Drosophila melanogaster: one gene and its partners. The protein of the gene in region 1 purifies or fractionates together with the protein of each later gene. This does not show direct contact. Each region holds a gene or a part of one and is shown on either strand. Other genes may lie near its edges.

Evidence for each region.
Region 2: the proteins of Tim10 (region 1) and CG6276 purify together in Drosophila melanogaster (affinity purification with mass spectrometry, with the first as the bait; one large-scale study listed by BioGRID). This does not show direct contact.
Region 3: the proteins of Tim10 (region 1) and CG34149 purify together in Drosophila melanogaster (affinity purification with mass spectrometry, with the first as the bait; one large-scale study listed by BioGRID). This does not show direct contact.
Region 4: the proteins of Tim10 (region 1) and Atf-2 purify together in Drosophila melanogaster (affinity purification with mass spectrometry, with the first as the bait; one large-scale study listed by BioGRID). This does not show direct contact.

Annotation. Positions count from the first base shown.
Region 1 is NT_033778.4:21,689,646-21,692,801, reverse strand, and holds Tim10 (translocase of inner membrane 10), read left to right. Parts: upstream 1-1,662; 5' UTR 1,663-1,692; coding exon of another isoform or gene 1,693-1,730; 5' UTR 1,731-1,801; coding exon of another isoform or gene 1,802-1,961; 5' UTR 1,962-2,013; coding exon 2,014-2,164; intron 2,165-2,327; coding exon 2,328-2,455; 3' UTR 2,456-2,587; downstream 2,588-3,156. Other genes in the region: CngB (cyclic nucleotide-gated ion channel subunit B), read left to right, coding at 1-32; Ppcdc (phosphopantothenoylcysteine decarboxylase), read right to left, coding at 110-370, 428-567, 632-806; CG42496 (uncharacterized protein), read right to left, coding at 822-1,106; CG42497 (uncharacterized protein), read left to right, coding at 1,693-1,730, 1,802-1,961; CG10307 (uncharacterized protein), read right to left, coding at 2,615-2,875, 2,934-3,156. UniProt on the Drosophila melanogaster protein: Mitochondrial intermembrane chaperone that participates in the import and insertion of multi-pass transmembrane proteins into the mitochondrial inner membrane.
Region 2 is NT_033777.3:15,317,682-15,321,680, forward strand, and holds CG6276 (uncharacterized protein), read right to left. Parts: upstream 2,389-3,999; 5' UTR 2,233-2,388; coding exon 2,146-2,232; intron 2,085-2,145; coding exon 759-2,084; 3' UTR 522-758; downstream 1-521. Other genes in the region: CG14866 (uncharacterized protein), read left to right, coding at 1-457; CG44040 (uncharacterized protein), read left to right, coding at 2,744-2,926; ear (ENL/AF9-related), read left to right, coding at 3,737-3,923, 3,995-3,999.
Region 3 is NT_033777.3:22,378,273-22,381,774, reverse strand, and holds CG34149 (uncharacterized protein), read right to left. Parts: upstream 1,648-3,502; 5' UTR 1,609-1,647; coding exon 1,574-1,608; intron 1,520-1,573; coding exon 637-1,519; 3' UTR 522-636; downstream 1-521. Other genes in the region: CG43342 (uncharacterized protein), read right to left, coding at 1-190, 251-346; CG18596 (uncharacterized protein), read right to left, coding at 1,962-2,109, 2,171-2,341, 2,410-2,931, 2,995-3,502.
Region 4 is NT_033778.4:24,868,327-24,872,045, reverse strand, and holds Atf-2 (activating transcription factor-2), read right to left. Parts: upstream 1,939-3,719; 5' UTR 1,837-1,938; coding exon 801-1,836; intron 748-800; coding exon 638-747; 3' UTR 557-637; downstream 1-556. Other genes in the region: CG16896 (uncharacterized protein), read left to right, coding at 1-337, 401-556.

The DNA of each region.
Region 1 (3,156 bases):
CCCTGGAGGACATGAAGGTGGTGGATCTCTAAGATTTCATAGCCAATTCCATATTATTTGTCTAACTATTGTAACAAAATATTCTGCGATATAAACTTTGTGTGCATAACTATTTAATCGGCTGAAAGGCGGATAACACCGCTTCCACAATTGTGGGTACCTCCGCCATGGCGCCGTTGCCAGTATCACCGCACATCAGAGTCTTGGATATGCAGGGTATCTCCTTGTAGCCCCAACTGGTCAGCTTGTCGATCTGCTCCCGAGTTATTGGATGGTCGTACATACGGGTATTCATCGCAGGTGCAAAGAGCAGCGGCTTCTCAAGGTCCCAGGCCCGCACCACACACATGACGATATTATCGCAAATCCCCTGTCATAAAAAAGATACTGAAATAATGTTCTGGGTAAAATGTCGACCCAAACTTACGGTGGCCATTTTGGACAGAGAGTTTGCGCTGAGTGGGGCTATTACCAACAAATCCGCCCACTTGCCTAGATCTATGTGGAGTACAGGATCTCCTCGCTTGTTCCAGGTGATCCACTCGTCGCGATTGTGGTAAATGGGTACTACAATATATGCAATAGTTTGTTAGTTAAAGTTAACAAATACCCGAAGATTTAGACAACCTACCATTTTCGGGAATCTGCTCCAGTTCAAAGAAGTGTTTGGCTGCTTCGGTAATAAGTACTTTCAGGTGGAACTTAAAGGGTAGGCGCTCGTCGGAGAGCTCTCGGATTAACTGGGCTAACTTAATGGTGGCCACACTTCCGGTGGCCGCTATCATCACATTACGTTCGGGTTTCATGGCTCACAATGCCGGCTATTGCTTCTGCACCTCCGGTTCTTTTTGATCGGTCTTGGTACTCTGGTCGTGAAAGCCCAACTTGGACCACTCGGTTTTCTCCATAAGATTGTTGTCCATGCGACAGGCCAGGTAGTTCTGGGCGTCCTGGCGGCACTGGCTCGTATCCTGGGCGTTCTTGCGCAGACAACTGGCGTAGAGGAGGAATTGCTTCTTGCAGAGACCTTCGTGGTCCAGGGGAAAGGAACCCTTCTCGGGCGGCGTGGGCACGAACTTCTTCTGGCTGTAGATCTGCGAAGTCATTTGTGAGTTGCTCTGCTCGCTCCTTATCTTAATTCATTGATAAAATATGACTTAAAATTACGAAATAATTGTGTAAACAGCAAGTCAGTGTGACCAGAGAATGTTGGGAACCACAAGTTGAAAAACATTCGGAGTTACAAAGGTCACTTTCAAATCTTATATGAACTTAAATATTGAGAATCTTATAAGATAAAAAAATGAATAAGGTTTCAAGTATGAAATTCAAAATCTTAAATATGCTAAAGCAATAAATACTCACAATGTTGCTAACATATTTATCACTGATACTGATAATTAACATGTAGCATTTAAAATTTGCAATTTTTAAATTATATTAAAGCCATTGACAAACATATAAAGTAATTTGGCTGATTAAGTGATAAATAAGTACAGTTCCAGAAAACAAATCAACCTAGCAATACAGATTCACTCTGATTCCGAACCAACTCAAATCACAGTTTCCCAATACAGTGACTTCGATTGAAAGGAATAACCCTATGTGACAGCTGTCACACGTGCCAGTGATAAAAAATCCCGCACACCTTCCAACGGAACGCGTTAGTGTGTCGTTTTTTCGTAGCAGGCTATGTCGTTGGGCAACGCAGGGCGAATCGCTGTCTGTTGGTTTGTAGAAAAATCGTTTTTAGTTACACACACTTAGCTTTACTACATGGTGTTTGAAAATCCCGAAACAGGACTGTTTTGACCGTGGGTGGCGTCTACGCATTTGTGCTGTCAAAGAGATCCGTTGAGAACCGGCGTTACGAGAGCATGCGAGTGCGTGAGCGCATGAGGAAGGCAAACCAAGGGGATTACGACTCAAGCGCAGCATCGGACAGGCGATTCGATTACTAAGCGGCAGCATCCAGTACCTAAAACCCATCAGTAACACACCCACACCCACACAATGGCATTGCCCCAGATCAGCACCGCAGACCAGGCCAAGCTGCAGCTGATGCAGGAAATGGAGATCGAAATGATGTCCGATTTATATAACCGCATGACGAACGCTTGCCACAAAAAGTGCATTCCGCCGCGCTACTCCGAGTCGGAGTTGGGTGAGTACCATAGCCATATAGAATGCTGTATCTAGTTCGCAGCTCTTTCTATGACAATCACTTCAGGTTTCTCTTTGATTCGATTGATGAAATTTAAATAGAAATCTTGAAACTTGTACCACAATTCTACACTTGTAATTTTAATGCTTTCCGCACCCTACAGGCAAAGGCGAGATGGTGTGCATCGATCGCTGTGTGGCCAAATATCTGGACATTCACGAGAAGATCGGCAAGAAGCTGACGGCCATGTCCATGCAGGACGAGGAGCTGATGAAGAAGATGTCTAGTTAACCTGGCACCCATTAACCCACATTTCCGCTTAACCAATGTGCATTTTTGAAGCGCTACGATTGTTAGAGGTACATGTACAAAACACCCCGTTGTAGAGAATAAACCACAGATTTATGTGTGCTACATAATATCAGACCTCGTTGACACAGATTAATGCATTCAAAAGGTGGTGACAAAGCGCGACATTTCCGGCAGCATGACACTCAGATCCTCGATGTTGTTCTCCAGCGCACTCTCGTCCGTTGTGTCCAGTTCGCTGGTCCGCACGCTGTTCGCCCAGTCGGAGGAGTCTAGATCCTGTCCTGCTCCTCGCGCCTGATCCTCCTGCTGTTCCTGGGCGTTGAGGCTAGCTCGACTGGCGAGACCATCGCAAATATTGGCGGGATCTGACGGCAGCTCCACATAAAGGTTCGTCTGGCGCTGTAAAATTCAGAGAAATTCAACAAAAAGAAACACAAAGGTTAATTTGGAGCTTCACCAAAGCCATTAGCTGTAGATCGCGGTGCAGGCTGATGGGATTCTTGGACAGGTTGAGCATGTGAAGAGTCCGCAACTCCTCCAGTTGTGACCGCGTGGGCATCTCGTCAATACAATTTTCGTTGAGAAAAGCAAACCGCAGCTTCTGCATGGCCATCAGCATCCTGGGCAGCCGTCGCAATCGATTCCCCTTAAGATTCAGATGCACCAAATTTCCCAGCAAC
Region 2 (3,999 bases), on another chromosome or scaffold:
CTCCCACCTGGCCGAGTTCGAGAAGGTCTCGGAGAATGAGGAGATCATGGCCTATCTGCTGAATCAGCCGACGCATCGTGGTCGCGATTACTGGCTGGGCGGTCTCAATCCTGGCCTCCTCTGGATCTGGTCCAATTCGGCTAAGCCGGTGAATCCCAACATGAATCTCACATCCATTGCGATGGCCCAGAAGGGGGAGAACTCGACGGCCGCCAATCTGGTGGACAGTTCGGAGCAGGCGGCAGAGGAGGCGACCGGCGAGGATGTGCTGAACAACACGGTGCAAATAGAGGGCAAGGGTCGCTGCCTACGGCTAAGTTACAATGCCGGAAAGCACAGCTATGTGTACTACGGACAGGAGTGCACCTCGCGGCACTACTACATCTGCGAGCACGAGGACAAGACGCTGGACAACAAGATCAAGAAGATCACCCGCGAGCTGAAGCTGTTCGAGTGAGGATGGGATGCAACCCATTCCGATCCTCATGTGATACTTCAAGTTACCTAGCCATATATCGCATAATTTCAAATGAATTTATTCTTGTGTTACACATTAAATATTTATAAATATTTATACAATTAATAAACATACCGGATAGTTTTCAAAACGTTTTTAAGGATACTTTGTTCTTGCACAGCGAAGCTTAAAGGATTCTTTTTTTTTCTCCAACGAAAATACAAAAGAGAATATTAAACAAAATCGATACTGGAACTGGGTTCCGTTTGCGTTAAGCGGAAGGTATACACAGAGATCAACGCTAATCCGGATACAGGTAGTCCTGCAGGATGTTCTGGAAGGCTATCTTTATCTTGCCGCGATCACGGCCGTTCAGCTTTTGGATGTCGGGCAGCAGGCTCATCAGAAACATGGCATCCGGATCGGTCTTGCAGTCGCACAGCTCCGCACCGCCGTTGGACACGGATCCGCCGGACGCGTTGTTGGCTTCCAAACGCAGAGGAAGCGCTGACGGCGGCACCTGTGGATGTCCTCCATGCATATGGTTGTGCCCATGCCGTTGACTCAAGTAGCTACTGCTACTGCTGGCACTAACACTACTACTGGGCGCCATCGGGGTGGCCACGGCCGCAGTGGATGGTGTGGGCAGTTCCGCTTCGGATAAGCCAGCAGTTCCTGGAACACCTCCTCCTCCTCCGCCTCCGGCGTGCGTTGTAGTGCTAACCAAATCCACGGGCTTGCTGAAAGTAGGTCGCACAAACGAAATGTTTGGATGGGCAGTCGGCTGTGCGGAGTAGTTGACCCCGGCCACTGCTGCAGTTGGAGCTTGGAGTTCCTGGGAACGCGGACGAATAGCGCCACGCATCTCGTCATGGTAGGTGCGCATTTGGAGGCGACCCGGAAGCATTCGGCTGGCGTGTGAATGCTGGTTGGCATAACGACGCTGGGCCTCCGCCGATGAAGAGCTAGAAGTAGGCGCCATCTTGTGTAGGTCCTGGTCATCCTGTTCATCCTCCTCGGGCTCGTGCGCCTCTTGTTCGTAGTCATCCACCGGCTCCTCGCACTCCGACTTAATGTCGTTGCCGTCCAACTGGCCGTGGTAACGACTGTTGCGCTGCTGCTCCTCCTCCATGATGTCATCCAGCTCGGAGTTGTTGTGTTCCGCCTCGTCAAAGTAGTCCAGATAGTTGTCCAGCTGCTGTGCAGGTGGTGACTGGTGGGCGGAGGGCGTGGGCTGGCCACCAATACTGCTGCTGCCCGGAATGGTCACTGAACGCTCACGCTGCATACGACTAGAAAGGTTCGAGAGGTGTGCCAGGGCGTCCTGCACCTGTGTGTCCAGCGATTTGGGCTGCTGGTGCTTCTTGCGTAGATACGGATGCAGAAAGAACATGCGGTCGAAGTAGGACCAGCAGGGTGGCACCTTTTCCTCCAGATAGTTGGTGTACTCTCGTCGGAACGAGATGCGCAAATTGGTCCACTTGGCCAGACTGGCGCCCGGATTCTTTTCCAGCTTCAAATCCACCTCGCGCCAAAAGTTCTCCACGTACGGGCGGCAAAAGTAGTATTTGTGCCTCGGATTGTAGATGGCCTCGTCGCGCTGCACAATTTCGATTAGTTTAAAGACCTACAGAACAACAGAAATATGTGAATCAAATCATTTTCAAATTGCATATCCATGCAAATACCTCCTCCGTTAGCCAGCGGGATGCACTACAGCTGGTGTTGGGATTGCTGGACACGAACTGGCTGCCCGCGAAGTCGGTCGTCATCATGGGTGGGCTGTGGCTCCAAGGCAGTCGCTCCGATGGATTCAATTTTTGGCTGACTTATCCAGCGTTCGCCATAACTTTTGCGAAATATTTTTATTGTTTTTCCCAAGTGTTCTTTTAAGTGCTGTGAACCAAACAGGCGGCCGAACTGGTTCCGGATCACAGAAGCTTTTGCTGACTATTTTGGTTTATGCGGGTTCCTTAAAAACAATGATCATGCAATATAAAAATTTCCCATATATATATCATCTTGTCTGAATCCGCGTGCTATGCTTAAAAGCTTAACCTGTAAGTGGCAAAAAGCGAAATTCCATGTGTTGCTATTTCTAAACAAACACAAAACACATTATTTAAGTACCACGCAGTGTTTGCCGAATTGTTTCTTTTCTCTTGATATTTGGTACATAGGCGGAATTGAAGCATTTGTGTCAATATTTGCAAATCTAAAAATGAAAGGTATAAAATTGAGCAACTATCCCCGGGAAAATATCACAGTCACAAAAGAGTAATCAAGATGAAGTTCTTCGCCATTCTGTTCCTTCTGTGCGCCATCGTTGGATTCGCTGCATCCTCCACCTCGACAACCACGACGGAAGCCTCCTCTGATACTTCAACCACTTCGGCGGCACCATCCCCAGTTCCGTGCGGAAATGGGCCCCAAGGACCATGTGGCAAGAAACTATACTTTTTCTACTAAGAAACAAATAAAGCACTCTATTCTTTAAAAAATGCATCGAGTTAAAAATCTGAATGAATTTAAACTAGATATATGTACATATTTAAAACTAATTTCACGAGCCACCCTAGAAAAAGTAAACGCAACGCATATTCTAGTATATTTTACCCGACTCAAGTGTATTTTTTGGTGCCCCGAACTTTGGTCACACTTTACCATTTTGGATTTTATTTTCTGTGTTTTTCCAAAATTTACTTCGATTCTGGCTCCAAGCTTTTACGTTTTTTCTGAAAATTGTGCGCATCTCCATGTGAATGCCGCACGGCGCGATAGTAAGTATAAAGCGTGGCTGGTGGGGGCATGTGGCTAAAGGAAACCACAAACACGGCGAAAGCTTGCAACATGAAAAGTCCACATTGTGGCACACATTCGCTCACAAACAATAACAAATTGAACGCAAAGCGAATCATAACAAAAAACGTCGGTTATCAAAGGATATTCAAAATGTGGTAGCTAGTGCGGGCATCCTGAGACCGATTGAAAGGTTTCCAAAGCCAGGCGCAGACTTGGAGGACGTGACCTGCCACAGGATTCGCATTAGAAATCACGCATGCACACTGAAGCGAAAGCAAGGAGCGCAATACTTGGCTAACACCTCGTTTGGCAATCCATTGGGCCTTTCCACATAACTGGCGATCATTTGTTTACGTCGCATCAAGCTTAAGTGCTTGCACACTCGAGTTGCATTGGTTTTGGCGCGCTAATACGTAGCATCTTAATTCACCACTTAATTGCAGGCAATCACTGGAACTTGATGCCCTACCCACAGGCATGGCGGTCAAGGTGCAATTCGAAATTGGCCACACGTCGAAGCTGCGCAGCAAGAAGACACCGCATCCGCAGGCCTTTACGCACGACTGGGAGATCTACGTTCAGGGCGTGAACAAGGCGGACATCAGTGCTTTTGTGGAGAAGGTGGTCTTTGTGCTGCACGAATCCTTTCCGAAACCCAAACGAGGTAAATGCGGCGATATATCATGGGAGTAGTTCAGTCGGATTAACTCTGTTACCCGAATTGTTTATTTGCAGTGGTC
Region 3 (3,502 bases), on another chromosome or scaffold:
CATTTGGTGAAGTGACTTCATCTCGCTGGGAGCTCAACCTTTTGAAGTACGCCGACAGCACTTTACGGTCTTGTTCGATGCTCTCGACAAGTTCCTGGCGGTTCTGCGGCGTTGGCCTTGAGTAGGGTAGCTGTCTTTTCTGTAGGGCTACGTTGTTCCGTTTGATGAGTAGCAAACTTTTCCTCTCGGTCTGCAAATGCATAATTTCGTTTAAATATTTGTAAATTTAAGGGCAACTTAGTAATTATACCTCTATATGATCTTCTTTAATGTATGAAGCTTTCTGCTCTTCGTTGTCGCCATTTTCAGAGGTCGTTTCATCATACACATTTGAAGTGTTCCACATTCTTATGTTATGAATATTTTGTCACTTAAGCCTTTAAATTGCATTAGCTGCTTCAAATTTAATAAACATTGGAAGAAAACACAGCCGCGCTTTGGAGATGGCAGTAGCAGTAGCCTCTAGCCTATCGATAAACAGTCCGATACCATTTCTCGCACCTATTTTGAATAGTTTGATTCGTATATCTAACAAATAAAGTATATTTGCATTGATCTTATAAAAATCGATAACATTTATTTTTAAATTTAAAATTAATGTATGCCTCTAAATTCATGCTGAAGGACAAGGGATTGTCATGATGGGCGCAGTGCGAGCGATTCATTAGCTTGAGGGTTTGGATTCAGTGCGTCCGTTTGGCTGGTTTCACTGAGGCCGCGAAGCTCGAGCTCACAGATCAGCTGCGATACTCGCATCTTGGCTTCCGCTACCAACTTTGGCGAGAGGGCTTTCACGCTGGAACTGACGCTTTCGAAAAACAGATCCACATGATTCTTCTCCTTGGGCGGCGGTGTGTGACTTAGGGTCCTCTGGCTTCCCATCAGCTCGCGGAAGGATTCCATGAGTTCGTTTTTGTCCTGGTGGATCTGCATTAGTAACTTTATGCCCTCCTGCTTAGAGGCAGAAGAGGAGCTGTCACTGCAATTGGCATGGCTTGACGGGGGTTCGGTCATCTTTGTTGTGACCTCTGTCTCTGATAAGAACTCCTGTTTGGGTACTGTCACCTTCTCACTGGCTGCAGAACAGAGGCTTTGATCAGCAATGGCCATCACGGGCATAGGCTCTGGAGTGGAAGGCGGCTCCAACTCGTGGTTCTCAGCCAAGGGCTCCATCACTACCAATTTACGCTGGTGATAGTACTTGCTACGCTGCTGGCGAATCCGGAACTCCTGGACCGCCGCGCCTTCGCCCTTTGTGAGCAGAGCCTCCAGATTGCGCTTGTGCTTGGTGGTTCGCTCGTGCCGCACCAGGTGGCATCGATTGCAGTCCATGGTGCACTGGCAAGCGCGGCAGAATGGCTTGTTAGGATCCTCGGCCGCCCGTCGGAGCCATGGATCGAAAATCTTGAGCCACTTTTCGCAGAACTTCTGGTTATATTTAGGTTTCAGAGTTCTGTGCTCCTTGTCCAGCTTTAAAGATTTCTTAGCAGTCCGCGCCTTTAGCATTTTGTCTGTCTTCCTATAAGCGAAGCATTCGTATAGAATTTGAGAGTTTCCGGCCTCAAGGACTTACCATTCAGAATCGGAGGTGTTTTCCGAGAAGCTCATTTTCGTCTTTTCGAAGTTGTTTACAATGGGTTTGTTGTGATGTTGTGATTATAGGATCAGCTGTTTCAGGCAAGCGTCATCGGTAAATACTGGTTATCGATAACAAGGCGCGAAACTTTAAGAGAATGAATTATATTTACTTCGATTAATTCACCGAAGGCAAACAAACACATTTAAAAAAATAGAAATAATACTAATAGCTAGTACAATTAAGTTTATATAGGTAATTTATTTTGGGTGTATTTTTTTTAAGATATATACAACACAAAACATTTATATAGTAACATTTGTACAATATTTTTAGGTATTTACTTTATTTGTTAAAGGCATTTGTTGGTGGTCAAATTATGAATTTAATTTAAGTGCTGCTTACAATATTCCCAAATAAATAGTGATCCAGCCACATGTACATTTAGAGAGCGCACTAAGCCATACTGGGGAATTTCGACGGCGTAGTCCAAGAATCCAATAAGGTTCGCTGGTATTCCATGTTTTTCATGCCTGAGGAGGGATGCAGAACAATAAGTTTTCAAAAAATACGCCCAAGATGTTGATTACGAACCCCAAAAGAAGAATGCTTTTCTTGGGAAACTTAAAGTCAACAAAGTTTGTGCTGTGTGCAGTTTGCTCGGCGCCAACGATTTTATAACCCTCCATTTGCTTTTCCAGCAGAAATCCAGCAAGCGATTCTGGATTCACTTCAAGTATGTTTAAAGTTTTCTCAGCAGTCATGCTAAAATAATATAATTATAATTATATAAAGCAATATAATAGGGCTACCGCGATGTTTGACGTGCATACCTCAAGTTTGTAAAATCGCTTTTCTCCGCCTGTGATTTTAAACCCAATATTAGGGTATTAACGCCCAGAACTTCACAGGTACGCGCCAATCCGCCCAGATTTGGCAATTTGTCTATGAGCGAGGCCACCACAATGAGTTCGTGGTCATCTCTAGCTTTGTTCGAAACAACAAAGTCACTCTCCGGATATATATCTCCGACGGGATTCATTTTTCGCTGCACATTTCCGTTTAATGCAGCCAAGGACGTTGCAAGCTCAGGTATCAAAACCGATTGTTTCCGTTTAAACGTTTCAAGGGCGCGCTTTAGTTTCATTCGAAAGTCATAGGAACAACTAATAAAACTGATGTTTTCATCAAATGGTGCATTCGTCATCATCAGAATGCAATCCGAAACGGATGTCGGGCATTGTTTGCCTAGTTCTGGTAACAAAAGTCGAGCTTCGCACTGAAACTCAGTTAATTTTTCGCTCAATGTAACCTTGATGGATTTCTTCAATGCATCAGCTATTGGCATTTGAATGCTAAAAATATCAAAATATTAATAAAATTCGGCAACAAGTAGTATATAATACTAATTTCATTACCTTCGATCCTCGCACTCGCTACAAATCCGATGCAAAACCAATTGGGCCAGCAAACGAGTCTGAAAATTTGCTCCCATTGTGAGAGGCAACAGGACGGCAAATACTTCGACAAGCTGTTCATGTTGTATGCTTTCCCAGCGAGTCAAGCAGTATATGTGGACTACAGAGACAAGCGAAATTTGCTGGCTCGGTTTTAGAGTTGCCAGTAGCTTTAACTGCTCCAGCAATAGATCGATGCTTGGCAGCATTTTGGAGACAAGGTACTCGTACATAAAGCTAATGTTAGGCTGATCGCTAGGGCACAAGACGGCTTCCCACAGGTTGTCCGACCACTTCCATCTGTCGCTTAGGTCGAGCAAAGCTTTGCCTATTCGCATTTTCATTCTGTGCTCTTTGCAGTTTGCAAAATAGCGTGGTTTTTTTCTGGACAGCTCATTGTTCATTCTAAGCAAATCGTCACAGATGAAGCTGATATCCAAACCAGTGCTGTTCTTCGCATATTGAATAA
Region 4 (3,719 bases), 3.2 Mb from region 1:
CATCACCTGCCAACGGAAAATGCTGCTCACCTACCAAATGGAGGTGCGTCGGCGCAAGAGCGAGGTCATCACTAAGTTACAGGAGTCTGAGCAGCGACGCAAAATTCTGGAGATGGAGAAGGACATGGACCTGCTGATGCACAGTATTGAGCGTGAGCGTCGGCGTCACAACCAAGAAATGCAGCTGGCCGAAGATGAAATTCGTAACCAGGAGATGGAGCTCCTTGCCCAGCGCTACTACTCGGATACGGAGGGTGCTCCACTGGCACAGAAGTATTACGACAAAATCCAGAAACTTTGCTATCAGCGTGATCAGCTGCAGAAAAACTTGCGTGATGTATGTGATAAAAGATTTTAGATTGTATTCTGTGATCTCCTAAGTCTACTTTCTTCCGAACAGATGACCATGGAACAGCTGCGAACTCCAGCAACATCATCTGTGCAATTTAGTCCCCAGCTGGTGGATATCGAGAATTCCATTTTTGAGATACAGAGAGAGTTTACGGAAATCATAACCACAGACAAAACATTGGAGTACAGAAGGAATTTAACTTAACTGAGGCTTTTTTGTACGAATAAACTACAAGGCTAGGATTATGTACATGGCACTAGAAAATAAATAAACAAGGCATATTGGTTATTTCTTGGCCGCGCTTGCGTTGCTGGCGGACGAAGGCACTAACACGTTGGGCACATTGATGAGCAAGTGTATACTGGATGGTGGAATCCGCAGCTGGTCGGCCACCACTATAAACGAAAATAAATTAACTTAACTTCAGGAATGGTTTATTAAAGCTTACCGCCAGCTAAGCTGCTGTGACTCCTGTGCTGCTGCAGTTCCTTTTCTAATCTGGAAATTCTTTCGTGCAGTTCTTGATTCTCCTGCTGCAGCTGGGCGTTCTGTTTGATGAGGTCCTTATGCTCGTTTCGCATCTTGTTACGGTAACGAGAGGCTGCTGCTCTTCGTCGCTCCATACAATCCTCGTCCCGACTGCGATCCTTTGCTTTCGCAGCCTTGGGCGGTGTGGAGAAACTTCGTCTGTTATTATTGCTGTGGATAATGGCCTTCAATCGCTCCTTGATGGGCAGCTGTGAGGTGGGCGTCAGACTGGCGCTACTGGGCTCGTTATTAGGTGGGTTGCAACTGACCAAAATAGGCTCGGGTCTTTTACTGGTCTTGTTTAATTCTTTCGCAGTGGGTTTCGGCAGTATGAAGGGATGAATGGCACCAGTCGGCTTCACCCTGTTTCTGTTACAATCAACTGTAGCGATGGAAATGGGAACTGACTGCGCAGGCAGCACCCATGTTAGGACCTGGGGCTGGATCAACTGCAGCGGCGGCGGACCATCTTGACTGGCTTTGGAAGGCGAGGTAACTGTCGTGGCCAGAAGCTGGTCCACATCCATATCGCCGCAGCTGACACTTTGTGGGACCTGATTTTCAGACGGAACTGATACCACGGTGGGGGCCTCGACGGGATACACCTGGGGCGTGTGCAGGGACTCACCGTCATTGGGTCGAGCCTCTGGGCGACTCGGAGTGCCGCTGACATTTCGCTCCGCTGCTTGCTGGAATCCAATGTCAAATGGATTTACGTGCTGCAGGTCCTCGAAGAGACCCACCTCGTCGCAGTTCTTGATGAGTCGCGTAGGCGTGGGCGTTTGGTCGGCGGCAAATAGAGTGTCTGACTTCTGCCCGAGAGAAATGTCTAGCGAAACATGTTCCGTCTGTGCCCGAAAGTTCTGATAGCAGGATACGTCGCCCTCTGGGGATTTTGTCTCAAAGTCGCCGAAGGACACACTGGCCAGGTGATCCATGTCTCCGGCGGTGTCCATGTCAGAAGTTACATCAAAATCATGCTATTTACAAATCAAACTCCATAATCTGCCGACAATTCTCAATTAAAACAACTATTTTGTAAATCACATTAGCAAAACAAAAAATAAAATTGTTATCGATGTATGGATGTGTTATTGAACCTATCGGACTCCATTAAGAAACCAACTCTGGCTGCAGTGCTGGAAAAGGTACTAAGTTCTTCTGCCGTAATTACGATGTAAAATGTATTTTATTACTGGTAGAACAAAGATCATAACGTAGAACTTAAAATAAATCAAATAAATACTGAATAATCTTCATTGTGTAACAAAATAAGTAAAGGAATTTTCAAACCTCGATATAATGTATATTTTATATGTTGTTTACCTTAGCACAGTAGTGATGTGTGCAAACCGATATATCGATACCGCGAGTGGGTGCAAAAAAGGCGCGCGAATGTTTTCAATTTGAATCTGGTTACCAATAAATACTGTGTGTAAAAAATACCCCTCTGTCATGAGACCCTTATTATTCCTAGCCTTTCTGTGTTTGAAGCTGTTATGCAACCACTCTTGACATTCGGCATTTCCGCAACGAAATTGCGTATCTGCCATCGCATCCAAAATGCCAAAATGCGAGTCTTCGGCACGTAGAAGCAATCATATGTGAAGAAGAGGAAGGTAAAGCGAAGAAAAAACATCGAAACATTTTTGGTAGCCAAGAAAACCCCATAATTTAAAATTTGTATCTTTTAAATTAGATTTCTCATTGGAGGAACAAGCAGAAAACAGACAGCGGACAAAACAACACGCAAAATGATTTCAAGCCGCTCGCATTTTGGGAAATATGCACGCAACGAAACGAGCAATTTTCTAAAACTCTGCCGCACAAAAAGCAGCAGACTCGACTTGTGGGTCAAGTTCAGTGCTTAAATTGTTCCCAGCGAGAAGATGGAGGACCCCTTCCGGCCCTCGTCCTCGTTGTTCACCACCACTCCAATCCGCTCCGTTTGCGAGGAGGAAGGGCCGCAAGATGCACAGCATGAAAATTAAGAAAAAGTGATGCGTAATTACAGTCATTCTCTTTCACTGCAGCCAAGCGGGCTATTCCACACAGCCATACCCTTGGCCATGTCCCGATCTCGATCCCATCCCATCCCATTCCATCCCATCCCTGCCACGTTGCATGCAACGGACGCGCGTTTTTCGGACAGCGTGGTCCATGGTCCATGGAGCTATGGGATGGAGATGGGTTCCGATCCTCGGCTCTGGATTCTCGTTTCTCGGACTGCGCTGCTGCCGGTAGAAACAATCAGTTTGAAGTTCGTTCGCATAATTATGGGCAATTTTCAAAGAACATGCGTTCCGATGAACATCTCTCTCTTGCCCGCATTCAAAGTATCCATACCCATCAGCTCCTTTTCCTGCCCCACCGCCACATCCTTTCCATCATCGCACTGCAACCTCGCCATTTTTCTTACTGTCCGTCGGTCTCTGTGGTTAGGATCAAGTGGCTGAGTGCACAAAATTTTTTTCCAAACTTGGAATAGCTTGCGATCAGGCTAAAGTAAAGCTTGAGAACAAATGTTTGAATAAGTTCCATAAGAACTTGAATTTTATTTGAAAAATATGTAATATAAAGGTATAGCAGTCCTCATAGTGATACATTGGTATTTAAGACTTGACCAGATTAACCATTCCATTTTAGCAAAGACACGTTTGGCATGACCCTAGCGTTGGTTACCAACTTGATGATCAGGTTTCTGGCCCTAGGAAATTTGCAAAGGAGTCAAGGACCGCAATTGGCCATAACGGCATGTGCGGCCTACAGGATCCGGCTGGTATCCAGCTCAGAGGATCACACTGTCCTTTCATAAATATTCAAAAACGGAGTTCCTCGA